Caenorhabditis elegans: one gene and its partners. The protein of the gene in region 1 purifies or fractionates together with the protein of each later gene. This does not show direct contact. Each region holds a gene or a part of one and is shown in the gene's direction. Other genes may lie near its edges.

What was found.
Region 2: the proteins of rpn-8 (region 1) and pbs-3 fractionate together in Caenorhabditis elegans (co-fractionation; one large-scale study listed by BioGRID). This does not show direct contact.
Region 3: the proteins of rpn-8 (region 1) and dim-1 fractionate together in Caenorhabditis elegans (co-fractionation; one large-scale study listed by BioGRID). This does not show direct contact.
Region 4: the proteins of rpn-8 (region 1) and fib-1 fractionate together in Caenorhabditis elegans (co-fractionation; one large-scale study listed by BioGRID). This does not show direct contact.

The regions. Positions count from the first base shown.
Region 1 is NC_003279.8:4,172,143-4,180,327, forward strand, and holds rpn-8 (26S proteasome non-ATPase regulatory subunit 7), read left to right. Parts: upstream 1-3,176; 5' UTR 3,177-3,180; coding exon 3,181-3,300; intron 3,301-3,353; coding exon 3,354-3,498; intron 3,499-3,542; coding exon 3,543-3,628; intron 3,629-3,688; coding exon 3,689-3,745; intron 3,746-3,854; exon of another isoform or gene 3,855-3,922; intron 3,923-4,212; coding exon 4,213-4,341; intron 4,342-4,390; coding exon 4,391-4,789; intron 4,790-4,835; coding exon 4,836-4,988; 3' UTR 4,989-5,129; downstream 5,130-8,185. Other genes in the region: R12E2.11 (Orotate phosphoribosyltransferase), read right to left, coding at 706-808, 850-1,115, 1,167-1,481; mrps-6 (Small ribosomal subunit protein bS6m), read right to left, coding at 1,829-2,047, 2,216-2,294, 2,344-2,489, 2,553-2,597; R12E2.13 (MIR domain-containing protein), read right to left, coding at 5,276-5,449, 5,513-5,602, 5,652-5,779, 5,889-5,992, 6,169-6,293; suco-1 (SUN domain-containing protein), read left to right, coding at 6,719-6,747, 6,861-6,953, 7,006-7,085, 7,131-7,216, 7,269-7,972, 8,025-8,185.
Region 2 is NC_003280.10:4,952,095-4,959,408, reverse strand, and holds pbs-3 (Proteasome subunit beta type-3), read left to right. Parts: upstream 1-3,981; 5' UTR 3,982-4,021; coding exon 4,022-4,074; intron 4,075-4,125; coding exon 4,126-4,523; intron 4,524-4,572; coding exon 4,573-4,736; 3' UTR 4,737-4,929; downstream 4,930-7,314. Other genes in the region: ulp-2 (Ubiquitin-like protease 2), read left to right, coding at 11-283, 334-559, 607-697, 748-772, 936-1,064, 1,115-1,406, 1,456-1,580, 1,738-1,803 and 4 more; ndx-3 (Nudix hydrolase 3), read right to left, coding at 4,993-5,130, 5,175-5,669, 5,725-5,814; zyg-12 (Zygote defective protein 12), read right to left, coding at 6,485-6,569, 6,715-6,762, 7,017-7,126, 7,170-7,314. UniProt on the Caenorhabditis elegans protein: Non-catalytic component of the proteasome, a multicatalytic proteinase complex which is characterized by its ability to cleave peptides with Arg, Phe, Tyr, Leu, and Glu adjacent to the leaving group at neutral or slightly basic pH.
Region 3 is NC_003284.9:8,053,062-8,061,763, reverse strand, and holds the start of dim-1 (Disorganized muscle protein 1), read left to right. Parts: upstream 1-3,543; 5' UTR 3,544-3,551; coding exon 3,552-3,596; intron 3,597-3,879; coding exon 3,880-3,937; intron 3,938-3,984; coding exon 3,985-4,062; intron 4,063-4,133; coding exon 4,134-4,187; intron 4,188-4,234; coding exon 4,235-4,770; intron 4,771-5,397; coding exon 5,398-5,572; intron 5,573-7,055; exon of another isoform or gene 7,056-7,191; intron 7,192-8,264; exon of another isoform or gene 8,265-8,610; intron 8,611-8,674; exon of another isoform or gene 8,675-8,702. Other genes in the region: C18A11.3 (DUF4309 domain-containing protein), read right to left, coding at 409-494, 542-633.
Region 4 is NC_003283.11:14,997,115-15,004,795, reverse strand, and holds fib-1 (rRNA 2'-O-methyltransferase fibrillarin), read left to right. Parts: upstream 1-2,686; 5' UTR 2,687-2,770; intron 2,771-2,826; 5' UTR 2,827-2,827; coding exon 2,828-2,867; intron 2,868-2,915; coding exon 2,916-3,099; intron 3,100-3,146; coding exon 3,147-3,697; intron 3,698-3,744; coding exon 3,745-4,028; 3' UTR 4,029-4,143; downstream 4,144-7,681. Other genes in the region: mut-15 (MUTator), read right to left, coding at 1-112, 167-437, 491-620, 665-770, 816-939, 988-1,463, 1,506-1,674, 1,722-1,794 and 3 more; rps-16 (Small ribosomal subunit protein uS9), read left to right, coding at 4,259-4,408, 4,453-4,737; T01C3.11 (uncharacterized protein), read right to left, coding at 4,805-4,931, 4,975-5,102, 5,150-5,251; irld-14 (Receptor L-domain domain-containing protein), read right to left, coding at 6,682-6,976, 7,020-7,078, 7,501-7,681. UniProt on the Caenorhabditis elegans protein: S-adenosyl-L-methionine-dependent methyltransferase that has the ability to methylate both RNAs and proteins. Involved in pre-rRNA processing.

The DNA.
Region 1 (8,185 bases):
GCTTGCCTCGAAATGTGTCGGTACACACGTTTGGGTAAGAGGAGAGGACTCGTTGGTATCTTCGGTTTTAACCCAGTTACTCAAGGTACGCTGGAGTTCTGACCTTTCGAAAGAAAGTGTCAAACGACTTTAATTTTTGGAACCGCTCTGCTGGGGTCATCCGGTAGAGCAAAATAATTGAATCCGATTTTAAAAGTTTATTAAGTTTTATGTGCATTAATGACTGACTTGCAATTCTTAGCGAGAACTGTTGAGCTATGATAGATGGTGCGAGTTTTATCCTTTGTGAACACTATTTGGAAAAGGTTTTATTCACTTGAAATCGTTTCAGGGAAAGAACATGAGAAGATTTGATTATGCTTTAGCTAAATTCCAAAAAAAAAAATTATTAAGACATGCGGAAGAAGAATTAAACCAGGATATATCACAACTTGGGAAGGAATCAACAAGCCAAAAAATAATGAAAATTATTCAGCAAACATGGTAGAAAGTGATGAGAAGAAAATATAAACACACAAAACATCACATAAAACGCTAAACAAAAATTTAATGAAACCTTTTTTCCATTTTTTAAATTGGTCCATCAATTTTCTTGTTTTATGTGATGCGATGCATGTGTGCTAACAAGGAAGTTTATTGGAATATTATGAAAATGAGAAAACAAGTTCACAAATTGGTAGAATATGGGGTGCAACAATGAAATTTTTAGAAAGGTTTAGCAAGATGAGCAATAATCTCGTGCTTTCGTTCCTCGGTCATCTCGTTTTTCGTGATCAGGCCGTCGAGGATCTTCTCCATTGTCAAAAAGCTGAAAAAATTTGATTTTTAATTAAAACGAAAAAGCCTCACCTGAGGAAGTTAAGATTATCTTCTGCGAGATTGGCAGTTGCTCCCTGTTGTCTATCCAAAACAGCTATGGCATCAGTGACCAACAGATTCTCATTGCGAATTGCTTCTGCTGTCTCACGAATTGATTCACCTGATGTGACGACATCTTCGACAAGAAGTACTGTACCACCAGGCTGATAGACTCCTTCGATAAGTTGCTTTGTTCCGTAGGCTTTGGCTTCTTTTCTTTTCATAAGCATCGGCACATTGAGAATATCAGATACAAGCTAAAAACATTGAGTCTCATTTTTTAGTGTGAATTATTTCTGAAAACTGACGGTAGCAAGTGGAAGGGCAGCATATGGTACTCCAACAACATAATCGAATTTGAGGTTTGAGGCGACAATTTTCTCACACATAGCTTGAGCAGCCATTCGGAGCACACGAGGAGAGCTCATTATTCTGCGAAGATCTATGTAGATTGGAGTCATCTGGCCAGATTTGAGGTAGAACTCCCCAGTGCGAAAACATTCCATTTGATAGAGATTCTCGAAAAAATCAGTTTCCTGGATTGGTGAAGCGGCCTGGACTTTCATGACGACTGGATCCTCGATTGAGTGATTTCCGTTGGCGGTAGCGGTGGCGGCGGTCATTCTGAATTTTTAACAATTTTCGAATATCAATGTGAAACAGGTTATTTTCTTTCAATAGAAAAGTGAACAAATATCACTTGGTCAGATGAACCAGGTACGTGATTTGAAGGAAGAAAAATAAATAAATAAAAATGTGATATTCATGAAACAAAACAAATCAATTCAACTTTAAGAAAACAAAAATCACTCTATAAATCCTAAAACTGTACAGAAGAATCGAGAAAACAGACAACGCAAAGTACGAAAAGATAGCCTCGTTTGATAACACTATCATAAGGAGGTGTGGCCAAAAGTGCATTGTCGGCGATCTTCGACCCGTAAATTTAAGTCGATTACGAATTTCATGTCTAGGGCCTTGGCGGAGCAATTGGGTAACTCTTCGGGATACTCTTCCACTCCTTTTCAGTACGTTTGTAGATCATCTGTCGCGTGAAATGACCCATCTTTTGATTTTCTCTCAAATCCTTGACTGCTTGACGTTCGGCAGGAGATTTGAGGATTTCTTCCAGATTGCATTCAACCTTTGGAGCCGGCAGTGTGTCCACTTGAATTAGATCGACTTGAACCTGAAAAAATATGGTTCAGATTTTTGTAATGACCAAAAAGTGACAAATTAATTTAGAAAAAGAACAAAACAACATTCGAAATGAATCTAAACAAAGAAAACTTTTAAACAATAAGACCCGATCATACATCAACATCAGATAATATATAATGAAATTTAACTAACTCACCGTGTCCAGGTCATGTGTCAAAATAGACTTTGTTTTCTGTCTAGCTTCCCGAGACATGTGCGCCTTGAAGAGGAAGAAACTGCAAAGAACAAACAATTTTTTTAAGATATATAGTTTTTAAATATTACTTTGAAGCGTAGACGGGCTCATTTGTCTGTTTGGCCAGCCGTTTATACGGTAAATCTCGATGACCCAGTGACTCAACCTTTTCAATTACTGCTCCGTGATCCAGCAAAGTGTTTCCAGCACGCGTTAAAGCTTTAACAAGATCTGCCTGAAATAAAGAATATTCTCATGATTATACACATTCTCACGCTTCATCGTGTTTTTTCTGTACCTTTGACAGAGATCGTGTGATCATGCTCACTTCATAAAACGGCATTGTTGTTCTCGCCCAGTATGAATGCTTTTTCTTCACTGAAAATATTTTCTATGCTACGAATTTGGAAATATGTCAATGAAAATCACGATAAGAAATCACAGCACAAGCTATTTTTCCAAAATAGGAAGTTGCCATTTTTCAACGACAGGCTGTGAACACAAGATTATTAAACAAAAATTTACTAGAACAATAAAATAAATGTTCAATTTTCAATTTTTCGCATTAGAAAGTTAATTTTCCGTCATTGCAATCGAAAAAAGTTAATTTTAAAGTAAAGAACCAGGAAAAATAAAGTGGAAATACGGGATGGGTCTCACCACGGCCAGTGTCGATTTACGGGGAAATTGCATGCGCCTTTAAACGATGATATTTCTTTTTTGAACGGGAAGCGGGAAATTGTCGTTTTTAAGCATTATTTATTTATTTCTTTTCATTTTTTCATTCAAATTATATTCTAGATACGTTTATGGCAGGTTTTTCCGCAATGATTAAGCGTTTCTCACTGTTATGTCGATTATTAACGTGTTAAACTGTTATGTGTTGATTTTTTATTGTGATAAATTTATTTTCGTTTTTTAGAAGAATGGCTCCAACTAACAAAGACGGAGATGTGGCGACTGTCAAAGCTGTAGATGTTCTCAAACAAAAGGCTGGAGCCCATCATTGCCTTGGAAATGTTCATGCAAACCTTCCCGTTAATAAGGTTAGCATACCTGAGCGAGAAAATTCGATTTTAAATAAACACAATTATTTAAGGTGACCGTCCATCCATTGGTTCTTCTGAGTGTTGTTGATCATTTCAATCGTGTCAGCAAAACTCAAAGCGTGAAGCGTGTTGTTGGAGTCCTTTTGGGGTCCATGAAAAAGGACAAAACTCTGGATATTGGAAACAGTTTTGCTGGTATTTTTAAAAATTTATTTGCTTACTTATAAAGTAATTTTCAGTTCCGTTTGATGAAGATGACAAGGATAAAAGTACATGGTTCCTCGACATGGACTATTTGGAGAGCATGTATGGAATGTTCTACAAGGTTGGTGAATTTTGAAATCTCGTTTTTATTTAATTTTAAACAAAAAAAATGAATTTACAGGTTGCCGCCAAGGAAAAAATCGTCGGATGGTATCATACGGGTCCAAAACTTCACAAGGTATATAAGAGGCAAAAAAGAGACGGGGACAACGCGCGTAGTGGTCTAGTGGCTAGCAGGCACACACTCTGCGCCTCCAGCCATTGGTTCGATTTCTCATTCCACTCGGGTTTGTGATGACTGCATACGGATCACTGGGCTCTGAATCTCTATGAACCGATAATATCCGTTCTGATACCCGTTTTTACGGTTTCATGATCGATGGAGCGCGAACTTGTTTAAATTTGAAATTATACTGTGCAAATAACAACAAAGCAAAAAAAAAAAAACTTAAAACAAATCAAATCAAAACTTTTGAAAAAAATCGAAAAAAATGCAGTGGATACCTGACAAAAAAAAAAGAAAAAACCGTGTCACAGTGTTGCGAAATTACGCTCCGCCTTACTTTCTGTGCCACCCTGATTTTTGCAAAATTACGGTGTTCAACTTCAACAGTTTAATTAATTATTTATTTATTAATTTTACAGAACGATATTGCTATCAACGAGCAATTGAAACGATTCTGCCCGAACCCGGTTCTTGTAATTATCGATGCTGAGCCAAAGAACATCGGATTGCCAACAGAGGCTTACATCGAAGTTCAGGAAGTTCACGATGTACGTTTCAAAATACTGTTTAATTTTTTTTCAATATATTGTTTTGTAGGATGGAACTCCACCAATCAAAACCTTCGAGCATGTGCCTTCAGATATCGGAGCCGAAGAAGCTGAGGAAGTTGGAGTCGAGCATCTTTTGAGAGATATCAAGGACCAAACTGCTGGAACTCTTTCACAGCGTATCACCGATCAACTTATGGGCTTGAGAGGACTGCAATCACAGCTTGAATCCATTGAGAAGTATCTTCATGATATTGTGCGCGGAACTCTTCCAGTCAACCATCATGTCATTTACTATGTTCAAGAAGTTCTCAATCTCCTGCCTGACGTCACTCATCCAGACTACATTGTTTCACAGAATGTGCAAACTAATGATCAGCTCATGTGTGTGTATATGGGATCTCTTGTACGATCGGTGGTCGCTTTGCACAACTTAATTGATAACAAGGTGATTTGCAAAGATTTTAAAATTTATTAAAAGCTATGATTTTTAGATCTCTCTCCAGAAGGCTGAAAAGGAGCAGGAAACTGGCGAAGCTGAGAAAAAGAAGGATGAAAAGGATAAGAAAGACAAAAAGGATGAAAAGAAGGATGAGAAAAAGGAAAAGGACAGTAAATCATCAACCCCTAATACTCCAAAGAAGTGATAAACAAACTCAGAACATTGATTGTATCCTCATGTCCACTTCTCCACCAATCTCTTTTTCTTTTACCCTATCGCATCATATACATTTAATTTATTCGGTCTTTTATTTTTCTGTGCATCAATGTAGTATTTTATCCCCGGTATTTAGATCAGTTGCCAATAATTTTTCAGAAGACAAAATCTAATAACTTTATTAGAAAAAATAACAAAGATAACATCCCCGTAAAGCAATGGTAAATATCACGAAGAAAGGCATGGCTTATTAAATTAGGAGTATCCAATGTGGATTTAAAGATCTTTTTGCTGATGCTTGATGTAAATGCCTTCGGCAACTTTCCATGCACTTCCACCAGTGATCGAGTCGGTGCCGACGACCTCCCGTTGTCCATGAATGGGGCGTCCGAATTGTTGTCCCGAGAGTGAGAGGTATGAACCAGTGACAGCGTGGCGAAGTTTGAATTGCTAAAGTGAACAATATAGGGTATTCAAAACGTATAGATAATATCGAAAAGGAATGTAACAAACCTCGGATTCCAACCACTCATCTCCGTTGCAAATCACAGTCCAATCATCTCCCGTGTCACTTTCTGCTTCGCTGCCAAAAGCGGAGACCTCCTTTAAAAAATCAAATTATTCATTTGTTTTCTCGAATTGCCAAACAAACCTGATGTTGTTTGGAGAGAGGTGCAGTGAAATGATGGGAATGCAGGAACGTGCCCGTGGTGAGGTGCTTCAGACGGATCTTGTCTCCGCATTTGATTGCATCTCCACGATTGCATTTTGCGTTCAAAGCTGAAGTAAGAGAATGTTCGGTTTTCTTTGTTCTTTTTTTTCAAAAAGCATTAATATACACAAATTATTATAGTTTAAGTTACTAGGCGTTAACTTCCAAATAACTAACCTGGGAAAATCTGCCAATGAGAATTGATGTCGTCCGAGTTTTTTACAGCAGTCACAGATTGTTGGCCGGACCCGCTTCCGTATTTTACGTCATGCGAATGTAACCTGAAACCTTTTTGTTTCAAACAAAATCTACTTTTTCGAAGGGAAAATGCTCATTTTCTCAGGAGATATTCTTTAATATTTACTGTTGGTGGCAACTATTTATTTAGTGTCATTAACTTTACCGAGTTTCTAATATTAGTGCAAACAATTTTAATAAAGTAAGCTGGCTCACGTACCTAGAGCCATCATTAGCATTTATAAACTTTAAAACGCTGTAGCACGTCACAAAGTCTTCATCGGCGTATGCAAATGAGGCGAAGAATAGAAGTGGAAAACTGAGTAGTAGTGGCAATTTCGGCATTATTTTGGTTCCCTGTAATAATATTCTGTTTTATTATTCCAAACTTTCTAGAATTTCATAGAGAATGTAGCAGAAAAGATTATAAAAAGAGAAGCTCCTGCAAAAATTAAATCAACGTCGCTTTGCACGAGATGTGCGTCAACCAACGTACACCATCGACAATGACGTCAGTAGCCGCTCTTGACGTACTTTGTTCCCAACACCTTGTGGTTCCGCAGTCAATTTTTTAGCTGTTTGGCGGCCAATTGACGCGACACCGCTTATAAAATTTATATCACGAGACCTTCTAATCTATGTTTGTTTGAAATCATAAGGGTCTTATCACTTTCCATTTTAAATTTGTTCTCTTTTGAAAACTTAAACCTTCTACTTACAGCTCAACAGAAAACACGACGCATGGGTGAGCGAGAAAGGTGGAACAGGTGATGAAGCTCAAGCGGTTATTGATATTTGCGTAAGTTTTTTATTGTATTCATATAAAATAATCATTTAAAAGTCGTTTTGATGAACTGAAGATGTTTTCACTAAGAATTATCCCAAAAATGAATTTAATTGCTAATATTTCAGCGTACTACTAGTACTACCCAACATAAATGCTAATCAAGAAGTGTCATTTGTAAAACACTGGAAAGACATTTTACTGACTGATGGAGAACATAGGTAATCTTTTATTTTTAAAACACAAATTCTTACAAATTTTTTGAAATTTCAGTCCAATTTGCGCATTATCTATCGATGGTTGCGCCAGGTCAGCCCCGTACAATGTTTCGAAAAAGATTATGAAGGCTTCGGGTAATAATATTTATATTTTATTCCATAAATAAAATATAAATTCAGTAAATGCATCGGAAAAGGATTCGATACCCGAGAAAAGCATAGATAACTTTGATGAATGGACGAAAAAGCGAAGAGATGCGGTTGCGGTGAGTTTTTATTTTATTCTGAGAGAATTATGTTTTAAATTCGAGTTTTTAGAACCAAAACGGACAGAATCAAAAAACAATTGAGCCAACTCAAGTTGCCCGGCACGATGAAGTTTCAATTCCGCTGCCCCCAATCACTCGTCCACCGAGAAACTTTGCCAGTCGGGAATGTGGCGCTAAAATTATCGCTGCAAATCCTGAAGCTGAGAATGCTAAAGCTGTTGTAAATGAGAAAGACGTCGATGATTATATGAGAAATCCATGCCAATCTGCCAAAGAAAAATTTATAGTTATTGAGTTATGCGAAGCAATTCAGATTAAAAAGATAGCTATTGGAAACTTTGAACTGTTCGCTTCAAGACCCAAAACAATTCAAGTTTTCATTTCTGAGAGATACCCTCCTCTCGCAAATTGGATCTCTGTTGGACCATTTCATCTGCAGGATCATCATAAGAATTTGCAAACTTTTGATGTTCCAAACACAAATGTCTATGCAAAATATGTCAGGATCAACCTAGAAGATCATTATGGAAAAGAACATTACTGCATTGTTTCGGTTGTTAATGTGATGGGGAGTACTTTGGCTGACGAATATGACAAAGAAGAAGCTGCTGCTCATCTTTTAAATGTAATTGAAGAAGTGAAGGAAGAGCCAGTGACAACTCCGCCACCATCGGAGCAGAAAATGCAGACACAGCTTCCAGTGCCACCGAAATCTCCGAATCAAACTGTTTCAGCACGAATGAAATCAGTAGAGTAAGTTTTCTTTCCAAAAAGCACCGAATTAATTATTAATATTTAATTTCAGCTTCCGTCAACTGAAATCGGTTTGCTCACAATGTTCTGTAGGGAAAGTTTCCAACCTCATATGCCATATTCTTCCAATTCCAACGAGAGTAAAGAAAAATGATTTAGTCAAGCCTCCGAATAACCTGAAAACATCCACAATTAAGCCTGCAGTTACGGATA
Region 2 (7,314 bases), on another chromosome or scaffold:
ATAATTTCAGCTGAAAGATGAGCAACAAGAGAATCCCGCTGTACTCATTTGCACTTTGAACCTCTCAAGCTACACAAAAATGTGTAAGCTCCAAACCGGCTTGAAGGATGTCGTCGAGAAACCATTTCTGTATAACAAATCTCTTGCACGGAATTTGACATTCATACTTAAACCGTGGAACGATGACCCTGACACGTTTGTGAAGATCTCATACAATGATGAACACCGAGAGTATGTGCACAGCTATGATTACGATGTGGCCAAGTCCTTAATGTTCAAAGAGGTGAGGATTGAATTCATACGATGATATTTTAAAGTTTTGCAAGTTTTCAGGTCCAAGCCGTTTGGGAACAATCACTCAAAGAGCAGCTACAACGTCGTCACCAAACCGGTCGAGTTTATTTGACAAGTCAACTCAGTGAAATGACTCCTCGAGAATGGGTTCAGTTTCTTGCTGATCAGAAGCTATCTAAAATTGTGTGTCACAACGGTTCTATTCAATATGCGAGAGTAGAAGACAATCCACATGGACGAAAACATACAGCAGTTGCCACAAACGGTTGGCTGAAAATATTTGAATCCAAGATTAATTTGATCTCATTTCAGGCTTCGACCACCGAGGAACCAGAGTATTGAATTCATTTGGCAAAGCACATGCATCTCTTGCTACTCAAGAAAAATCATATGCAAAGAAGAGGTAAGTTGAAAGAAAATCGTATCCAGAAATTGTAGTTCTTTTTTTTTCAGGAAACTCACGGAACAATCTCTCAAGGTAAGAAACAACTATTTTTCGACACCTAAAATACCCAAGCCACGGACACAGTGTTTATAACGCCCTTTATGTTCCACCACTATCTGAACTCACATTTAATTTATATTTTCTTTACTCGTTGTATTGTCATATTTTAAGTCTAAAACTCAGTGAGTTATTCTAGCTTATTTATCGAAATGATCGGAGTGTTTGGCTAGAAGGAAGTTGTGCGAAGAACTTGAAGATGCCAAAGATCAATTCGGAGCCAAATATGGGAGAATTCATGGGATGGCCAGATATGGATAACGCAATGGTATGTCAAAGGTCTCGGCGTCCTGTGACTGCAATTTGAATGAATTGTAGACCCACCCGACGTCAAATTTCGAGAATGAAGATGTGATGAAAAGTACAAAGCAACCGAACGATTTCGTCAGTTTTGAACAACTGCAAGCTCCTCCACCAGTTCTCCAACGACAAAATGGAGCTATTTATTCTACTCAATCCGTCGCTTTTACACACATTTCCGGAAATGATGGTGTTGAGGATCTCACTGAAAAAATAAGTCATTTGGGAGAAGAAGCGTACAACATTGATATGGCAAATGCTCTTCATGCCTTCAGTGACAACTGGCATTATGAAATTCATCCTAACACTGGTAGTTAGATGATCGGCACTGATTTCAAATCATTAAAATTGATTTTCAGTGCACAACGCCTCTTTCGAACAATTGCACATCGGAGATGGGAATTCGAGCATCGGAACCATCGGATTCAACCCATTAGAGCCCTATCCTCAAAGTTCATTCCCACAAAGCAATAATTGGCAACAGGTTTGGTTTGCTCTTGCTCACCGAAATCAACCTATACTAACAAAAATACTCCATTTTCCCCATTTTTCTTTCTGTTCCCTTGTTCATCTAAAAAATTTAAAACACTGTGCTCCGAGGCTCTTTTCTAGGGTATTTTCAAATATTATTAAATTTTCAGGCTCATGGTGACTTCACGTTTCCCCAAGTGTCGTTTCCAAATACACAACAGGGCTCATGTTTGCCGGTAGGCATCGTGGATAAACCTCTTTTGATTTAATTTTTTTTTTCAGAGTACTCCGACTGCAGCGCTGCCTCCAACTCGACCAGTTGTTGAGAAAATACCTCCAGATACGCAACTTTTCACGTTCCCACCTTCTGGCTCTTGCACAACGGGAATGGATCCTGTAGTGTGTAAGTTTAATATTACTCGGATTTTTGTTGAATTCAAACAGTTATGCCCCTTTAAAAAAATATTGTAGCTTCAAGACTTTTCTGGATTTTCATCAATTTTTTTCATTTTTTTCATTTTTGAAAAACACCAAGAAATAATAATATAAACTTTATTTAAAGGCGCATACCTATTTGCATTTAACAAAACTTTATTGTGGTGAGACCAAGCAAAGTACTGTCTGCGCAAAATAGGTTACTGTAACTGTTCCCTCATAGAATCCATGAATTTCAGTGCTCGTCAAGGATATCAAAACACTGGATCGCAAAGAATTCCTGAATGACAGCGTCATGGCATTTATGCTGAATTATATTGCATTTATGCTTTCGTCCGAGCTGTAAGTTTCATTAAACATCATTGGATTTTAAAAATTATAATTTAATTACAGAATGAAATCCGTGCATATGTGCAACACGTTCTTATTCGTCAATCTGACTCGCCTACTTCCACCATTGTGCTTCTCCAAAAGACGACCAATCGAACCAGAACACATAAAAATCGTGAAAGACAATTGCCCTCGAGTTCTCCGTTGGACACGAAAATTCGATGTTCTTGCCAAAGATTATATTATCATTCCGATCAACGAAGATCTTCACTGGCTCGTCATCGCTGTTATCAATCCATCGGGTGCAATTGTCGATATGTCGAATGAGGAAGCTTCCAGAGCTGCTCCGAAGTGTTATATTGTATTCTTCGATCCGTTGAGTGGTCTCGATCCAAGCAAGAAGAATCATATGTGTCACTGCATCAAGATTTATTTGGCTCAATTGTATGAAAACACTAAGGCTCCTGGAATGAAATTTGCGTCGAAGAATCCAACGATTTACGATGAGGAGAGAGTTGTCGTGACTCGTGCTGAAAACACTCCAATCCAAGACAACTTTTATGATTGTGGACTTTATGTATTGCATTTCATTGAAGGGCTCTTCTGTTATCCGAACCGTCCGGTCAATGTGAACGTAAGTAAATCTTCATGAAACATCACAATAAATAAACACTTTTAATTCAGGATTTTCCAAACTTTGACTGGTCAAAGTTCTTCCCGGAGGCCAATAAAATGTGTGACTTGATGCGAGACAAAGTTTACAATTTGATTCTTCAACAAGCGGATAAACCTGCGAGAAGCCGTCTCGCCAAGTTCGAAAGGGAGAACAAATGTGGATTGTCGCGTGAAGGAGCTCTTAGGAAAGCACGTCGTCATAGTGCAGTGAATGAACGTCGTACGAAACGGCACAGAGACTATTATGCACGTCACTATTCCTTGAGCCCGCCACACCGAAATGTGATGAACGATGATCCGACGTTCATGAATCCACGTGGATTGGCGGAAATGCCAATAACTCGACTTGTTCGTCGCCTCAGAATTCCGGAGGATAACTTCCCAATCGCTTACTAGGCATTTTGATCAAAAATTTGTCTCCCCTCTCAAAAATTGCCGGTATTTTCTTCTCTTAGTTAATTTATTTTTTAAAGATTTTATTATCCTCCCATTTTTACGCTCTCTCCTTATTTCTGCGTTCTCCGTCATAAAGTGACAATTGTTATTTTTTCTTTATAACTTGATCACTCAATTTAATATTTTCAGTTGATCTCCACTCTTTTTTCCTCCTTTTATTAAAATTTCAATATTCTGTTCCATCAATTTTCCTTTTGTACACCCATTTCACATCTCCGCAACGGTTTCTAAATTTTCTATTTGACTTCAGATTGTTTTCTTACCGTGTATGCGTTTTTCCGTCGATAAATTCGCGTTTTTAATTAATTTTTTTCATGTTCTGTCTGAAGAAAATGGTCGATTTCCATAGGTTCTCTTCAGCAACCCTGGCACGCTATTAGTCTCCGCCCACTTTTCCCTGCCGCAGTTTCCTATTTGTAAGCAAAATGTCCGCCAAACGATTGAAACGCTCATTTCACTTCATTGTTTCTCTGTTTTATTAAATTTCCAGACATTCTCACACTCTCTTTCAATTTCAGATATATCTCTTCGTCTTAAAGACCAGAAAAACACTCAAAAATGTCGATTATGAGCTACACTGGTGGAACCGTCGTCGCCATGGCTGGAGACGAGTAAGTTTTAAATTTCATGGTTGAAATATTATTTTATTCTTATCTTTTCAGATGTGTGTGCATTGCTTCGGATCTTCGTATTGGAGAGCAGATGACAACAATTGCAACTGATCAGAAGAAAGTGCATAAGGTGACAGACAAGGTCTACGTAGGACTTGCTGGATTCCAATCCGATGCTCGCACAGTCTTGGAGAAAATTATGTTCCGCAAGAATTTGTATGAGCTCCGTGAGAATCGCAACATCAAGCCACAAGTGTTGTCCGAGATGATCTCGAATCTGGCTTATCAGCACCGCTTTGGCAGTTATTTCACCGAGCCACTCGTTGCTGGTTTGGACGACACCAACAAGCCATATATCTGCTGCATGGACACTATCGGATGTGTATCTGCTCCACGCGATTTCGTTGCTGTCGGAACGGGACAAGAGTACTTGCTTGGAGTTTGTGAAAGTGAGTTTTTTGAATTTTGTTTAACGTTCAATTTAAATACTTTTTACAGACTTCTGGCGCGAGAACATGAAGCCGGATGAGCTCTTCGAGGCTACTGCTCAGTCGATTCTTTCTTGCTTGGAGCGTGATGCTGCATCAGGTTGGGGAGCAGTCGTGTACACAATCACTAAGGATAAGGTTAACGTCTCAACTATCAAGGCTCGTATGGATTGAGAAATTTTCCCCGTTCCCAACATTAAGTGTATACAATTTAATCTAATTTATTTGTTTCTCTTTTCCCTGTCTCATCCCCACACCCCAGACCGACCGGTTACCGTATTTTTCAACTTTTAAATTCTTTTGTGTTGGTTCTTCAATATCGAGAATACATTTATCACCCATTATGACTTGTAAATGTTTTATCTTTAGTCTCCCGAAGTTTATGGCAACAATTCTACGAACAAAAAAAATACTACACAGATCCTAAGAATTAGAAAAATTTCACAATTAAATCATGCTTATAGACATCTGGATTCAGCAGGGTCAATGCTTGATGCAACATTACACCAGAAAGCCCCCAAACTCGCTGGGTGGAATGAAGATACTCGTTCGGAGCATTGTGATGGACCTGAAAAACTTAACATTTTTTCGGAAATTATTTAAAAAATAAACCTTGAACTCCGTGGAATCGAACGAAGGCAGTGTGTACTTCATTCTCTTGCTTTGGAATTTAGTTAGTCCGGCTTTTTTGATAAGTTCATCAATTGGAATCGTGAAAACAGCTTGTACTTCATCAGAGTTGACCACCAGATTCTCGAGAACTCGCTCATCGGAAATGTATCCAACAATCGGAGTAACATTGAAATCCGCTTGCCGTCTTATCACACTTTTCAAATGACCCCAGATTTCCACACTTTCAGCGTTAACCCCGATTTCTTCAAACGTTTCACGGAGAGCAGTTTCAGTTGTAGTTTCTCCTGGATCCATTCGACCACCTGGAAAACATACTTCACCACGATGCGATCTGAGATGAATCGATCGTTTCGTTAGAAGCACAGAATCACGACCGTCAACAGTCACAAGCGGAATCAGAACAGACATTGCCGAATTCGCGTCGGAATCCGAGACTAGGCGAGGATGTTTCGATGCGGGAATAGATGAAAGATTCTGAAAATGAGCATTCTTGGTCTCTAGTTGGCTAAATGATTGCAGTATTAAATACCTTCAGAAATTGTTCTTTGGCATCCTTCCCGAAGAATCTTCTACTACAAACATTGATCAGACTCCTCTGAGCACTGAGTCCATATCTCATTTGGTTCTGAATCAAATACGAAATGTTTTATAATAAAAGTTGAGAACGTGAGGTACTAATAGGCAAGGCCTTTCTTAATATGCAAAACAAATGGAAAACATCTTTTGTAAAAACTTCTTCATCAAAAAATATAAAATAAATCTGTGAACACATAAAGGGTTCAAGGAGTCAGAAGAACAGAAGAAATTTATATGAATAGAATGTGTACAGTTTTTGGAAGGAAACGCCAAAAACTGTAGATTGTGGGCGGGAGAGGCGGGGGTTGCACAATTTACAGACACTTCTCGGTGTTCGAAAACAACGCGAGATTCTCAAAATTAATCAATTAAACTGAATGATTAGAAACTAGAATGACATAGAATTGAACTTTTTGGAGGAGCAAGGATTGGGTATCACAGCCTGGAGCTCACCGCTTTCCTGTCATAGATATCAGTCTGAAAGCAGGTTACAATAAATAAATAAGGAATTAAATGGGGGAACTGTCAAATGGTAGAAGAAAGAAAATTTGCGGATCCCGTGCCGTATACCCGAAAAGAAAACAGAAAAGTGGGGAGCACATTACTGTACACGAAAGAGAGAAAAAAGGACAAATGAGGGTAAAGCACACTATACACATGATGATGGTGGATGTTGACAGAAAATACAGAAGAACAAAGGGATGTAGAGATGATTAGGCATTTGGAGGAGCATTCAGTGCGCTGTTTATGTTTATGAACATCCAGGCGATGAAGACGAGGAATCCAAGGACGAGAATGCTGAAAAAAAAACAAAGGAATAAAAATAGATTAAAAATAAAATTGTGGTTAATGTCATAGTGGTAAAAGCTGTTATCAGTCACATAAGGGTGCAAGCGTAAAGCGTATTAGAAAGTTAACATTAAAACAAAGTGCTCCTACTCACCTAGCCATCGCCGTCGGCAATTCTCGACGGGTCTCGGAAGCAAGTGATCTAAAAATTAGTGGTGTGAGGGTGTTATTGAGGGCGCAATGGAAACAAAAAAACTGGGTGAGCACAAAGGACACTAAAACTCAGATTCGTGCAAACAAAAGACGTGCACATTTACCTTGTATGGAACATAGAGAGATAGTGGGAATATCACGAAAATCTGAAACCGTAGAAAAATAAAATGATAAGAAACCGCAAGGAGGGAGAGAAAATTAATATTTCTAGATTTCTCTTTTAAAAATAATGAAAACTATTACCTCCATGGAAGTGCTCCACTCATTTTCTGTGTATCCAACAGAGTCTGCGGCTCTTCGGATCCAGCGTGTGCTCTCATGCTCATCACTTCGTCGATAGATCGATTCAAAACCTGAAACAATGTTTTCTTTCCGATTTTCAATTTGTTGGGGCACCTGTTGATGCGAGGCACTCGTTAAAAGCCGATTCTCTTGTTCGAATCCTTGGGTTACTGTATTGAGCTCAATCTCCAATTTTTCAACTTTCTGGCGAAGCTTCTCATTTTCTTCTTTCATTTCTTTGAAAGCTTGAACAGAAGTC
Region 3 (8,702 bases), on another chromosome or scaffold:
ATAATAGATTTTCACGAAAAATTCGAAGTTTTTCAATACTTCAAAAATTTAGGGGGTCCTACAGCAAGCGCGCGAACTGTATTACATTTGGTTAAAATTTATCCAGTTTCGAATAAACAATAATTAAGCATAGTATAAAAAATGTAGAAAAAAAGTTTTTTTGATCGACTTCCAAAATTATGAGTGGCAAAAACAATTGTCACTTTTTGACCGTAAATAAAAAAGTTTCAAAACAGTTTTGAAAAGTTTTATAATGATATTCGGTAACTTTTTGACCATAGGAGTTGTTTTTAACAATTTTCCCACTGGCGCTTTTTTAAGCAGTGTTATTCCAAGTAGCAATAATCTTTCAAAATACTTTTTTCTAAATTTACTGACTGGAGATACCAGTGAAAGCCACTAACTAACCCTGTACAAAAGACCAAATCACAGCTCCAGCTACACATCCAATTAAAACCAAAGAAATAGCAAGACGAATACCGAAACTTCGAAGGCTAAAATAAAAATCTACAATTTTCAAACAATTTTTTAAACAACTTACTTCTTGCCAAAATCTGCGCCTTCTACTAACTCGATATCGTCATCGTCTTCGAACTCGTCCGCAAATCTTGGTAGTGAGCCGCTTTTGCTCATCTGCAAACAAAAATAATAACTAAACTATATAATTTAAATTCATATTTTGTGTAAACCGGAAAAAGGAAAGGTTTTATCACACTGAAAATGGCAATAATTGCTCCACACGATACGTGGAGGGTAATAAATGTTAAAGATTTATCAGTGGCGGTTTCGTATGCAATGTGTAACTTTTGGAATGAAAGTCATAAATTTCAAGATTCAAGAGAGAGCTGGTATAAAATTTTTTAATACAACAGGAACAATCCGTATCATTTGTGTTTGTTGATGTTATTAAACAAAGTTCCGCATTATTATGGCAAAAATTGATAAAAAATGTTTGTGCACATCAACATTAAAAAAGGTTACTAATGTTTCCACATGAAGAGTCTCTGGAAAAATGAACAAGTTGTAATTTCACCGTAAAAGTAGTTCTGGAAGAACATGTTTGAAGAAAACCAAAAATTGACAATACCAAATAACATTCTATGTATGCAGGGTTGTCTGAAATAATTATTTTATATTAATTTCAAAGGAACACTATATGATAATATCTGGAATAGGGGAAGCAATTAACATAGTCATAATAAAACATAGTTAAACAATTCCTACAAATTTAATAGTCTAATTATGTTTAAAATACTCATATTCAAACATTACAGTGATTTGAGCATTCTGCAGTGCTATAATTTTGTTTTCAATAAGCTGCAAAAATGCAGTAATTGCAACATTTGATTGTCAACAAAAAACTATTCAAAACTTTCAAATAAGTGTTACTATGATATTTAATCATTTTTGCACCATAAAAATGTTTTTTTAAGCAATTTACCCTATGGCGCTACTCCACTATTAAAATCAGTTGGTGTTTCTGGATGAATGTATTTATAACTTTTATCGGCTGCTTTTTCCGATTATGTCTTCGGCTGCACTCAGTTTGTTATTACGAGCCATCTGTGCTCAAGGTCGATAAGGTCAACTTTCTCGAAAATACGTTTCCCCTGTCCTCATTGACATCTTTCCCCCTCTCGTGTCTCCTACTTTTCACCCTTTCACCAAATATCGATCAAGTCGATTTTCAACGGGTTCTCCAGGCAGGTGGCTAGTACGTACAGTTTAGAATTGAATAGTGATGTCGTTTCGTCTCGTAGTGTTGAACTCTGGCGTTGTCTAATTCTCTTCTCCGCAACGCATCTCTAGCTTGCACGGCGACGGTCACCCACGATGCTGGGTCGCAAAAGACCTCTGGTCACCCTTCCCGTTACCGCCGATGGTGATCTAATAGTTATCGAAAAAATGAAAGTATTGGATTTTTAGGTATTGTTGCTAGCACAACTGTATTTGTCGATATTGTTGTTTTTTAATTCTCAATTGGGAGCAACAAAATTTTTTACAAAGTATACTCATGTTTCAATATCGGTTCTTGAGTGATTGGTGATAATTAAATCTCATTTAGAAATTCTGATTGAATTTTTTTCCGGTATGTGATTTTTTATTAATATCCTGAAAAATCGGCGAACTTATGTTCAAATAATATAGTTTTTAGTTTAATGTCCCGGCATACTTGTTTGTTAGTTTACGTTTACCATCCAACCTTTAAGCACCTTTTCTAAGGTTTTTCTTACCCGGCGATGGTCACCCACGATGCCGGTCACCAAAGATGCCAGGTAGCAAAGGATCCCTAGTCACCCTTCCCGTTACCGTCGACGGTAATCTCATAGTTATCGAAAAATGAAAGTATTGGATGTTTTGCATGCTGGCTACCCAACTGTACTTGTCGATATATTCTAAAAGTTGTTTTCTCATTGTAATTTGAATGCAACCGATTTTATTACGACCGATTCCAATCCTTTAAATTTTTTTGAAAACTTTTAATGTCTTGTTTTATTAGAATTAGTATTTTTATTTCATTTCAAAATAAAAGCTGTTGAACATTTTTCAACATCACTATCTAATTTTCAAATTACAAGGACCGGCAAGTAAGTTAAATTTTTTTCAAATTTTGGTTAATAGCTAAGTAGCATTAAAAGTTTTAAATCGAAAATGTTTTCAGTTGTTGATAATGTTTGATTTATCTGAAAACTTTACTTTAATGCACAGAAGTAGTGTTCCCATTTGCGAATTCAAATACTCCAAGTAGTTCGAATGTTATAGCTTATTTGTTTATCAGTTTATGTTTAATCCCAATTCATCAAACACATTTTTGTGCGTTTTTTTTTACACGGCGACGGTCGCCCACGATGTCGGTCATCCTCGATGCCGGTCACCCACAATTCCAGGTTGCAAAAGACCCCTAGTCACCCTTCCCGTTACCGCCGACAATGATCTCATAGTTATCGAAAAGAAAGAAAATATCGGATTTTAGGCCTAACACCACATGTGTACACGCCGATATCATTTAGTTTTTTTGTGGTCAGTTTTATCACGAAGGTGCTTCAAAAATTGATCAATTCATAATTATGATAACCTTCAATTTATGACTTTTATGAAATTAGTTGGTTTTGATTACAGAGATGAGAAAATGGTTTTTCAATGAAAGTTCTCACTTAACAATATACATTCTAAAACTATGCCAATTGTTCAAACCAAAACAAAATTGCAAGTCAGTTAAACTTGACTTTAATTATTGACAACAATTAGGTAGATTTCAAAAAGCCAAATCAAATTATTGTTTCATTATTTCAATGGTTAAAAAAACTCGCCTTAAAAGTTTTGTTTTGTCTGAAAACCACAAAGTCATCTGTTCCCGTTTACCTACAATACTTACTTACTTACTAAACTTTTCATTCACTTTTTGTTTATTTAACTTTTTGTGTATCAGTTTTTGTTTACTTTCCGTCCATCAAGCTTTTTTTTCCTCACTCATCCTTTATTTCAATTCTCGTCCTTTTTTCTATAATTAACAACACAAATCTTAATTTTTTCAGTTTAACTCCATAAGAATGGCATCGTTAGCACCATTCTTTAAAATTTCCGACTCCATCTTGGTAAGTGTCAAAACTTTTGTAAAATTTCAACGTTTCGATGCAATATTTGCTATTCTAATAACTTGGTGTTTTCACTTAACACAAGTCTTTACACTTTTAATAAGAACCGATAATCACAGTGAGATGTGCAGTGTTACCACTTATTGAGTAGTATCCTTGTGCAAACACCCCCACGACATATTGCGTACATTCCCGATTCAGAAATTTCTGGCTTATAAGGAAGCAATAACTCTAATTAATTTTAAAAAAAAAGAATAAAACGCTAAATATTATATATACTCAGGCTGATGAAAGTTTCGACGATCTGGAAATCAATAATCATTTTAAATGCACTAGCAAAGGTAAGTAAAGTGTTTTTGTCAATTATCTTATAATTTTTCAACTTCAGATCTAAATGAATACCCAAGAACTTCAACCCCATTGCCTGGAGAGATAACATCAATTTACAGCTTACCCAGATCATATAGTAGGTGTTAATGGATACGATTTGTATTTTTTTAAAGACAAAATTCAAATATGATAAAATTAACTTTTCAGATAATCAAAACCTTTGTACAAGAAGTAAACCAACAACATTCATTTCACAAAATCGTATGTTCGATTACGTTAAAAAATGTTTCTATTATTCATTTTTTCAGAACAAAAAGGAATGACGGAAAAACCGAAGCATTCTGAATATTTTTTAAGACTGATGAAAACACGCCAAGAAATGCAGAAAAAATTAACTGCGAAAAATGGTTCAAACAAAAGTGTGCAGCAATATTTGAGAAAGTTACCGCCCAGTACGAGCAAAGAAGTGACGATAATACCAGTGAAAATGAAACCTGATGACAATTCAGTTTATATTTCTAAAGAATTAAGTGACAGGACTGACACAAAACTACCGAAAGTTTCAACAAAAGAGGTAGAAAAATTTGGAGAGCAGTCAGATGATGAAGAGAGGCATGAGAGGTCTCATATCGCATCGGATTTTAATCAGAAGACCCCGCAATCAACGCATGCAACGAGTAACCATAGGAAGAGAATTTTCATAGGGAGGACAGGTGCTAAGCAACAGCATGTTAGTAAAAAAGCCACAGAGAGTGAATTACCTTATAATATCGACGTGTCAACCTCCAACACGACAAATGCAACCGAGGCTCTCAAACTGTTAAAAAGGCCACTTCTGTTACCAGTGAGTTTTAAAACTTACAAATTTAACTAACAGTTAGTTTAGTGACATAAAAATTAATAAAAGTTAGTGAAAAAGTAAAACATGACCGACTTTCTATGAATTTCAAACATAATATTTCCAACTAAAACCAAGAAGAACCAATAAACTGTAAAATAAAATAAAATGTAAAGTTTTTACTAAACATAACGATTTAACAAAAAAATAAAAATAAAACTTCAGTTGTTATATGTTTTCAAGATAATTTTTGAAAGAGTTCTTATTGTTGGAAAATTATTAGTAACTTTCCTTATAGAGAACATTTCATATTTAAAAACCAATAAAACATTCAAATCGTCACTGAAACATAAATTGGCAAAAAAGTAGGCAATTTCTATTTGAATTAACACCCATCAGCCAGTTTTTTTTTCAAATTTTTTCACCGTGTTTTACACAGCTTTGCATGAAATTTTTAAAGCTAAAATGTATAATCTTGTATTTTCTCAACAGTTTCTCTTAAACAGATCATGTTTCATATCAAAGTTTTACACAGCAAAAACTGCAAAAAATGAAAACATGAAAACGTACAAAAGTGTTCAAAACTATTCCAAAATATTAATTTCCCAAAAAATAATGGCTTGTAATTTTCAGAGTAAGGATCCACGATCGTCAAAAATGCCCCGTTTAGATCTCAATCAACATCAATTCCGCTGCAAACAGTACATAGTCCATTCACAATTTACATGTACTCAAATTGAGAAAACATTTAAGTGCAGAGTTGGAACATCGACAGAGAGTGAAGACCTTGATGATTACTATTTTGATGGTGAGTACTTATTTGTTCTTGTGTCAGTTATCAATAAGCGAAGAAATAAACAAAAACAGTATTGGAAATTAAATCGAATGGTCTGCACACTGTGTCAACCACAGCGCCTCCATGATCTTAGAAACAAACAAATGAGCAAGAGATTACCGTGCGCTCTTTTCCCGACAAACATAGAAATATAGTACTTGATAGAAAAGAAATAGGGAAAAGAGGAGGGCAAAAAGCAACAAGTTGTGAAGAATAGTCAACAATATTGGTCGGGAGGGAGGTTTCTGCTTGTACGTATATATTTATTGAAGTGACGCCGACTGACGACGCAGGATTTGCTTTCATACAATTTTTTTTGGGGGGAAACACGATAAAAATGTCCCGTCGTTTTTATGCATCAATGCATCATTCTTCGGAAGTTACTATTATACATACAATCACTTTCTTAGGGTTTTTTTCTTTATTTTCCAGTGAATGCTCAAATTGTATATTTTCTAGTATGATTTTAATAGAAGAAAGTTTTCATTGAAAATAAGACAAATAGATAGGTCAAATAATATATAATAAATTGAGTGGTATAGCATTCTATTTTTTCGAATCAAAAACTCAAATCTTAAACGAATAATTTTTTCCATCCAAACTGAGCTACGATTTTGACACTTTCTGAATATTTTCAAAAATTTACAAGCCTAGTCGTATATTTTGAAATTAAATAATTAAACCTTGAGAGGTTGGCAATTTTAACATTTCCGAATTTTGACATTGCCGAACATCTCTGCAATGAATGTTTGGGGGTTCTATGTATTCTTGTCGTAACTATTTGTTTTCTTTGCACTCGTTCGCTTTGACCAGACCACTTTTCTTTTATGCTATGAACTCATTACGCAGAGATCTCGCACAACAATTTGTTACTTGCACTGTTCATCTTGTCCTTTTTACTCTTTTTTCCTTCCGTTTACTTTTTCATATTGCACACAATGAGACTGTGCTGATGGCTGCTTCAAAATTTCTGGGACTGTGCTTCACATTCTTGTGTACTCTTTCGCTCACCACCAGTTTTTTGCACTGTTCTCTAGAGTGAAAAAGGAAAATTGAACAGTTACATTGTGTTCGGTTTCAGTCAATTTTTTTGTTGTACAATTAGCGTCGCTAGAAAAAGTGTTTTTTTTGCTACTCTACTGTTCTTGTCTCATGCTATTTTGTAGAGTTTAAATTTATTTTTAAAAAATGAATGTCAATTAAAATGTGAGAACTGGTAGAATCAAATATATACGTTTCATTTCTCGCGTAAAAAATTAAGAAAGTAGTCTTCTAACCTTCCATCTAGGCTATAAATCTCATTTATCTCTAGTTCCACTTGGCCACCAACTCCTCCGCAAGCAAATGATGATGATAGGGACCATTCGTAAAAGCCGCAGAAGCCCGAACAGTCAACTCGAACAGTTGTGGGGTCTTAGCGTGTGTGTTAGCAGGGAAATTTCTTTTTCCAAAGCGTATGAGGAGGTCCCGCTCGGTCGGTTAAATGAGCAAATATCTTCGCGACATATGCCAACGCGATTCGTATTACGTTTATCTGCTCGTCTAACACGAAGGCGAAATTGATGAAACGTGGGTGGGAAATGGAAACTAAGGAGAACTTCGGGGGGACGTGTGAAGCCGATAATGATGAGATCATACACTATTTGTCGTCTGCATATTGATCTATGTAGGACATGTACTCAACGATTTTATCTATTTCTCGGAACTTTTTTTTTTTAATTTTGAAGTGTTTTTGCGAAATTGTTTGTCTCTGCCGATTATTTTGAGAACAAATCGGCGTAGTTGTAAGAAAGATATAAATCAACCTGGTAAGAATTCTACCAATAACTAAAACTATTTAACTTCATCATGTACATTTCATTTGCCAAACAAAATTCTTTAAGCTATTTGCTCAATTTTCTTTTTTCATATCCCGCTTTTTATGATATCATCAATGTTCATTCAAAAAAAATCACACAACCACTCAAAAATACAAAAGGCTGTCTCAAGTATACACATACTTCTGCAGCTTTTCCTTTCCTCTAGGAGTATTTTTTGTGATATGATCACATTGAGTTTAGATCGGATTCGAGAATGATATTGAATGAATCGTGGCGCCAGGTAACTGAAATTTTATTTGTCAATGAGAAAGCGAGAGTTCCTTTTCTTCCACTATCCACCTACTCTATGGGGGTGCGAGCCTTTGTTTGTCAACTTGAGCTATTAAAAAAAGATACTGTTGAGATAAGTGCCGATTTCGATTTTCAATGCACTGCGGCTCTATCATATCTGCCTCCCCTACTAAACCCGCGCTCATTTTTTGTTTGAAAAATCAAAATCGCACGTTTCTTCATTCCGTCATAGTCATAGATTTCTGATAGGTTCCACGAGATGCGTTGGATCAGCCATGCAAGTCGTTGAGATTGCATGAGTTTCAGTTTCACGGGATGAACATATGTTCCCCGATCATGATGTGTGTGTTTTACATTTTTAGATGATTTATTGGGAAATTAGTTTTGTGCAATAGGTTTTCTGTCGTTTTTAGCTGTTATGGTTTATGTATATGTATATTCTTATTGGGTGGTATTTGAGAAGCTTGCCAAATTCATAAATCTCTTATCAAATCTATTAACATCTATCCAATGTACCCCGAACTAACTAGTTACTTTTTATTCTTTCTTCTGTGGGACCTTTTTCTGTGAGATATTTGTGTTCTTTCACTATCAGTGGTCGGCTGGCTAGCTGTCCTCCCACGCAGTAAACTTTACGGATCGATAGGTGATCAGGCAGCAGAAGCAACAGTGGTCCTGCCGAAACTTTCGAGAAAGACACAGAGCCAAGGCATGTTGATAATCATTGATAGTGATAGGTTCGACTCTGTCTCTCTGTTTTCTCTGGTCCATCAATCTGAGCCGTCATATCTACTTGCTCTGGACTCCCGCGGGGGCGCGCTCCTGCTCCGAGACCTTCTTTCTCTCCTTTATCCTCTCGCCTCTAGTACACAGCACGGTAGGAAGAGAGAAGCGGGAGGGAGGGCGCCGATTTTTGTGTAACGCTCCGAAGCGCGCCTCTTGTCACACTGTGATTAGAGTTGGCAATGCAGCCTCGGCAACGGCGGCGGAGT
Region 4 (7,681 bases), on another chromosome or scaffold:
CTGATGTTGCAGTTGCAACAGCTGCAGTTGTTCTCGATTGTCGATCCGCCAGGTATTTTTGGTAAAGATCGCGGAACCACGTGGGCGCTCGTGTTTTGTTGCATTCGAGAAACTGAAAAATTATCATGATTGTTTGAATCTTTCGATTTTGAGAAAGAAAAAGAACCTTTAAATATTCGCGAACGAGGCGAAAGTCCTTATTCTGGTCGATAATCATGTATAACTTCAGTTTCACTCCAATAATCGAAGCGAGGTTCTGCAACTCCGTCTCCATAATTGTTTGAAAATATAGTGGATGCGGAGAATCAAACATAACGATAGTGTCGACGGCGCCTCGGTGAACAGCGCGAATTGATCTCCAGTCGATCACAAGCACATCGAGATTACCCGTGCGAAACTCAAAGTTTCGTTTTTCCACATCTTCTTCGGAGTCGCATCTGCAAAAAAATAAATATGGAATAAAAAGGACACTATTTAGAATTGAACATACGTTGTAATTTTATGAATATTATAACGAAGGTTCACAGCTAAAGTTTGCATTTTCAGCCTCAGGTACATCATCACACGAATACATGTTTCCGTCGTTCGTGTTATGACGAGAATGCGTTCACGGCGGGGTTCTGAGAAAAATTTTATACCGAGTTTATAGTTCATATCAACTCACTGTCTCTCCGTCCAGATCTACCGTTATCTGCCGCTCTTGCATCTCTTTCTTTTTTGATCAACATGGTTAGTATCTTCAGTTTTTGTGTTGATTCGGTCAAATATTGCTGAAAGAATGAAAGATTAATTCAAAATTTAGACTCAGTAGTTACCGAGACAATTGCGGGACTTATATTATTATTCTCAAGTGTGCTCTCCTGGGTCGGAAGTAGACTAGCAATTTCACTGATAGGACGTACCAACTTGCATTCGATATTGGAAAATACATCACGAACTCTGGAAACATTCTAAGAATAGCACAAATTTTGCGAATATTGCTCGAACCTCGGATTATCAGCTTCAATGAGCACAGGTCTTTCCATTTTACCTTTGCAAAACTCGAGTGTTTCGGTTAACGAGGCAACTGAACTTGAGAAATGATACGCGAAGATGAATCGTGTCAAAGAACTTTCAAAAGTTTGAGCGAGACGTCCGAGTGAGTCGGCAAACTCACTGTTCCCCTTCAACTTCTCGGCATTATTAATGATAACAAAACGTAGAACAGATATAAAATCATCCAACTGTTCCATTTCATTCTTCAGCTTATCGATATACTCTTTGATTTTTTTGAATGAACCAATGAAAACTCTAGATCTATTCGATGTCATGAATTCATTTGACAGCTCAGTTGTGTCTAGATTTGTTATATGTGTATTTGGACGAGTGGAATTAGAACTTCTTCTCTTGTTGAGTAGGCCTCTCATTACAGATTTCGAGCGTTTACCGTCTGTAGTTATAATAATGCATCGCGGAAACGGTTTCTGAAATTAGAATCAGTTATCACTTCCACTAGCTTGGCTAACCCTATGCGAACGAAATCTGTCGATGGAGTGCAAGATGGGTTGTCCGTAGTAAAACTCGTGATTTGGGCCTGAATGAATGCAAAACAAATGTTCGCCGTTGTGAAAACGCCCGAGACTGCAATATAAAGCATCTTGCAATGTTCTCCATGGACTGTAGCCTCGGCGGCCACTGAAAATATGAATGTATTTTCAGAATTAACGACGGGATCGAATGACCTGATTGAAAACTTCATCAGCTTCCTCGTTATTTGCAGCGACCCGGTTTCAGACGATCTCACATACGCTACTTCTTCAAAGTATTAATTTCGATGGTATCTTTAGTATGATATTTCAAACCTTCTCTTGAAGCTGCCGGTCCCCACTCTGGGTTATGCGCTCGAGCCTGGAAAACATGAAATAATTGCAGTCATTCATTAATCTCAACTTCTTTGACCGAAAAACATGATCTCCTTGCATTGCCCAATCCATCAAGATCAAAAGCATTCACGACACCTGAAATGAATAAAATAAATATCCCATTTAGCTCATCAAAAATTGTCACCCATGCTACATATGCCGATTCCATTGGAGTTATCCATTTCTTTGATACTTATCTAAATACTTCCATTCAAATCCTGTTATTTAAACCCGTGCGCGATATCTGAACAACTCCGGAGTGTTTTTCAATGCTCGACTCGCTCCAGCAATCGATAAACAGAATGGGAATCGGTTTCGCTGCGTTCAAAACATCGGCCGGAATATTCTGGTTTCTGAGACAACGAAACGTGAAACATCTATCAAGTTTTCAACCTTTTTTCGAAGCCATGATTAGTATCATAATTTAAAACCTGTTTTTTTGCTTGACGTTTTTGCATATTTCAATCAAAACCACCTTTCATATCGCTTTGATTTTCAATTTTAGAACAAAGCCCCGCCTACAATTGCCTGATTTCGTTCTACGCGAGCTGTTTGCTTGCGAATCGATAAAGTGTCGGTTGTGTGGCAAGTGCGCTCCACTGTGCAGGTCTCGCAGCGATTGCCATTTTCCACCGTAGTTCCCTCCAATGTCTTCTCCATTTTCGTAATTTTTTGGTTCGCCCAAATTTTTTTTCGTCATTTTTTGCCTGAAATGTTCGTTTCTTCTCAATTTTTCTTGGATTTTAAGAGTAGATTTGAGAATAGTGGATGATTCTAGTCGATTCAGATCGACTGGAGCGTGATTTAAATCCATGACTCTAAGTGAAATGGGATAATTCTCAATCTTACTCGGCTCTCCCACGGCTGAGGTATGTATTTTTCGTAATTTCGCTTTTCGTTTTTGTTAAATAATCGATTTTTGTAGTATGGGACGTCCAGAGTTCAATCGTGGCGGCGGCGGCGGAGGTAAACTGAATTTCAGGATTTTTTCGTATTATAAATATTATTTTTCAGGTTTCCGAGGTGGACGCGGTGGAGACCGTGGTGGTAGCAGAGGTGGATTTGGAGGCGGTGGTCGTGGAGGATATGGCGGAGGTGATCGTGGCAGTTTCGGTGGAGGTGATCGCGGAGGCTTCAGAGGAGGACGCGGAGGTGGAGACCGCGGTGGTTTCCGTGGAGGAAGAGGCGGTGGTGATCGGTTTGTGTTTTATAATTCTGTTCGCCATCAAAACGATAATTTTTCAGAGGTGGTTTTGGTGGCCGTGGATCACCAAGAGGAGGATTCGGAGGACGTGGATCTCCAAGAGGCGGAAGAGGATCACCACGTGGTGGACGCGGAGGAGCCGGTGGAATGCGAGGAGGAAAGACTGTCGTTGTCGAACCACATCGTCTCGGTGGAGTATTCATCGTGAAAGGAAAGGAAGATGCTCTTGCCACAAAGAACATGGTTGTGGGAGAGTCCGTGTACGGAGAGAAGAGAGTGTCCGTCGATGACGGAGCTGGCTCAATCGAGTACCGTGTGTGGAATCCATTCCGTTCTAAGCTCGCTGCTTCCATCATGGGAGGATTGGAGAACACTCACATCAAGCCAGGAACCAAACTTCTCTATCTCGGAGCTGCTTCTGGAACTACTGTTTCCCATTGTTCTGACGTCGTTGGACCAGAAGGAATCGTTTATGCTGTTGAGTTCTCTCACAGATCTGGACGTGACCTTTTGGGAGTTGCCAAGAAGAGACCAAACGTTGTCCCAATTGTCGAAGATGCCAGACATCCACACAAGTACCGCATGCTTGTCGGTAAGTATTAAATTTAAGCATTTTTGTGTTTAATATTTATATTACAGGAATGGTCGATGTCATCTTTTCTGATGTTGCTCAGCCAGATCAAGCTCGTATTGTTGCTCTCAATGCCCAAAACTTCCTTCGCAACGGTGGACATGCCGTCATCTCTATCAAAGCTAATTGCATTGACAGTACTGCTGAGCCCGAGGCTGTATTTGCTGGTGAAGTCAACAAGCTGAAGGAGGAGAAGTTCAAGCCACTTGAGCAGGTAACCCTGGAGCCGTATGAGAGAGACCACGCTGTCGTGGTTGCTGTCTACCGCCCAGTCAAGGGAAAGAAGGTCTGATCTCCAAAATCATCGTTACATTTTTTTGTTTTGTTATTTTGTTACATGTATACCTCCATCTTGATCGTTAACACTTGTTTTACTTGTTTCCCAATAAAATGTTGTTGATGCTGTCATGTTAGGGATGTTTTACTTTTATCTTTACTTGGTTCTCAACCTTGCCGATATTTCTATTCTACTTTAATTGTAACCTTTATTTTGTTCTTTGTTTAATATATTATTACAGGGTAATGACGTCTACCGTGCAATCGGTTCAGACCTTCGGGCGCAAGAAGACTGCCACCGCTGTCGCTCACTGCAAAAAGGGACAAGGACTTATCAAGGTCAACGGTCGCCCACTTGAGTTCTTGGAGCCACAGATCCTGCGCATCAAGCTTCAGGTTTTTGTTCCGACATTAAATTCCAACTAACTTGTATTTTTCAGGAGCCACTTCTCCTCGTCGGAAAGGAACGCTTCCAGGATGTCGACATCAGAATCCGTGTTAGCGGTGGAGGACACGTTGCCCAGATCTACGCTGTCCGTCAAGCCCTTGCCAAGGCTCTCGTTGCCTACTACCACAAGTACGTTGACGAGCAGAGCAAGAGAGAATTGAAGAACATCTTCGCCGCTTACGACAAGTCCCTTTTGGTTGCTGACCCAAGACGCCGTGAGTCCAAGAAGTTCGGTGGACCAGGAGCCCGCGCTCGCTACCAGAAGTCTTACCGTTAAATTCTTTTTGTTGCACAATAAAATTGTTATTGAAAAAAAAGATTTATGAGATCGAATTTAAAAAGATTTAGAAAGTGAAGCTGAGCAAAAGCATATCAAGGACAAAAATGAATAGTATTCCGGCGATGAGGTCCAATCTTGAGTGTTTAGTTTTTCTCGTGTAGGCAACTTCGAATTGTTGTATTGGTTTAGAGCTTAAAATTCAATCTTATTCTGGTATGGTATAGAAACACTCACCAAATGCACTCAGTTTGAACTTCGCTGATTCCCGTTCCGTTTATTGTACACGTTGATCTCTTCTGCCGAGCACGACTACATCGAAAATCACAACATGAGTTGAACATTTCACATGACGAATAGTCTGCCTGAAATATTGGCAGAATTTTTTCAGGATGAGCTAAACATTTCAAACCTTTGATATGCATTCCTGCGTGTAGACTTTTAAGGATGCTTCAGTGTTTGATACTAAACATGGAATCAGGCAGGCTGGAATAATGATGGCAGTTATTCGCATTATAAAATATCTGAAATTAAGATATGCTCCTTCTGCTAGACTGGATATAAATTGAGAAAGTAAATCTACAGAGAGATTGCAGTGGAGTCAATGTTTGAGCAGAGTTCAGCATACAACAATCGCTAATTTGACAGTTTTCTCTGCTTCTTTCAATTGTGAACTAGTATTGAGCTAGATTGAAAAACCAATTAATCAATTTTTCAGGAACTGCAATCAAACACAACACTGATATGCGGAAAAAGATTGAATACTTTGTTCACAGTTTGTTTTGAACATACGAAAACAGACAAATGACATTGACCCAGAAGAAATCAGAAATTTAGAGAAAATGAGTGGGTAACTGTTAACGAAAATTCGAACGAAAAATTTGAGAGAAAGGCAAAGCTGATGTGGGTGTGTTTATCAGTTTTGCTAGTTATAAGACTAAAGTATTTTTATTATTTATTATCTCGATAGGAATAGTTGTCAAATAATAAAAACAATATATATCATTTTATTGATAAACGGAAATGAATTTTGACCTCGATGATTAACGATAAACTGAAAACAAACAAAAAGTAATCATGTGAACTTTAAAGTTTTTCAACGTTTGAATGGAAAGTAGTAGAAGAATGGAGGTGCATGACCTTCCCCTTCGAAAATGGACGTCTTCAAATGCGATGGGGTCAGTTTTAGACTGTCTCTTCCTTCTCCTTCTATTTCAAGGTTACACAATGGACAGCAGATGCTTCGTCTTTTTTCTATGCCCACTGCACCTGCTTTTACTATTTATTGATAGAACATATATATTTTTTATTTATTTATAAATACTCAACAAAACAGAACGGTAGTGTATAGAAAACAAATCAAACTGTTTAAATTAACAATAATAAATTTTTCAGAATATAAATTTTCAGAGGAAACGTGGAAGATCCGAAAAGAATTATTATCCAGACGCAAAATTTTGCTAAAAAAATACGGTGTGCGGTCCTGACACGGAAATTTCGTCAACTGCAAAAGGGTGTGTGCCTTTAAGGAGTACTGTAATTCTCAACGTTTCGGTTCTGTAAGACATTTATGTTTCCTTAAAATTTTGAAATTGTTCAATTGAAACAAACGGAAATCGCATAAAATGTCATGGATTAAAAACCAAAATATAAAATTTGAAATTTTGACAGTACAGTGATCCTTAAAGGCGCACGCAATTTTGCACTTGATAAATATTTTTGTGTCGAAACCAGGTATCGTACTTCTCGATTTGGAAACATATTGTTCGTAGTGAAAAAGGGTTGCGCAGGTTTAGGTGATACATAAATTGCGATTTGAAATACTTGCGCTCTGAAAAAGTTCTGAAAAAAACGAAATTTTCAAATTCATAGTTGCTATCTGTAAGTTACTTTTTTTAACTGAAGAAAACACTTTAAAAATAATTTATTTTATTTCTGTGCAGTTCACTTCATTTTCGGATCTTCCATCTTACTTCCAGCAGTTGGTGGCAACTTTTCGGACGCTTCATTTGATCTTTTCGATGTATCCGAATCATCATTGTCATTCCAGTGCTTGTACATGAAGTATCCTTGTCCAATGATTGCCAGAAAAGCGATGACGCAAGCAATGATAAGTCCGATGACAATTGCATTCATGCCAGATGATTCTTCAGTCTTGAATTGAAAGAAGCCCGCCGAGCATTCTTTACGTGAGTGTGAAGCGCGGGACTTTGATTCCAGTATTAACAGGTCACGACTTCTGAAATAAATTTCAAATAATCATTCAATTAGTTTCAACTTACGAGGTGACTTCCGTGTAAGCTGCAGATGGGAAATTGTCATTCTCAAACTGCACATCTTCCTGGAATAAATTATTGTTAGGAGTATCTATGCAAGCCTACGGAATTTTTCGTTTTTTTCTTTTTTACTTTTACTTTTTCTTGTGTTATTTGTATAATACAATTTCAAAAATCGAGTTAAATAACTTCGCTTCAAGACCGGGTGCTTATTCTTGGAGAAAACCTCGAAGTCGGCTTTGTGTCGATTTACGAAGCTTGCGTACTCCCCGAGGAGAATGATTGAATGTTTTTGCATTGACAAAAGAGAAGAGTTGAAATATAAGCAACTAGTAAAACATAGCAAAAACCTATTCCTCGTGGATTACAGAAACCCCGTAAATCGACACATGGCGATTCTGACACGGTCATTCTTGAATCTTCATGTGTCTTTAAAAATAGCTGCAACCCAAGATGTACTCTATAAAATATCAATAAAAATCCTCACGTCTTTTCCATTCAAAGCCAGCAACTTCGGCATTAGGATTCTCTGGAGCTTCCCATTGTTCTTGAAAATAATGGCAGGACCGTCTGGATTCAGGATTTGTTCGACTTGTGGTAGAAGATCAAACGTTTCCAAATCGGTACCATCGACTTCTAGTCCGCTCTCGATTCGACGAACTTGTTTC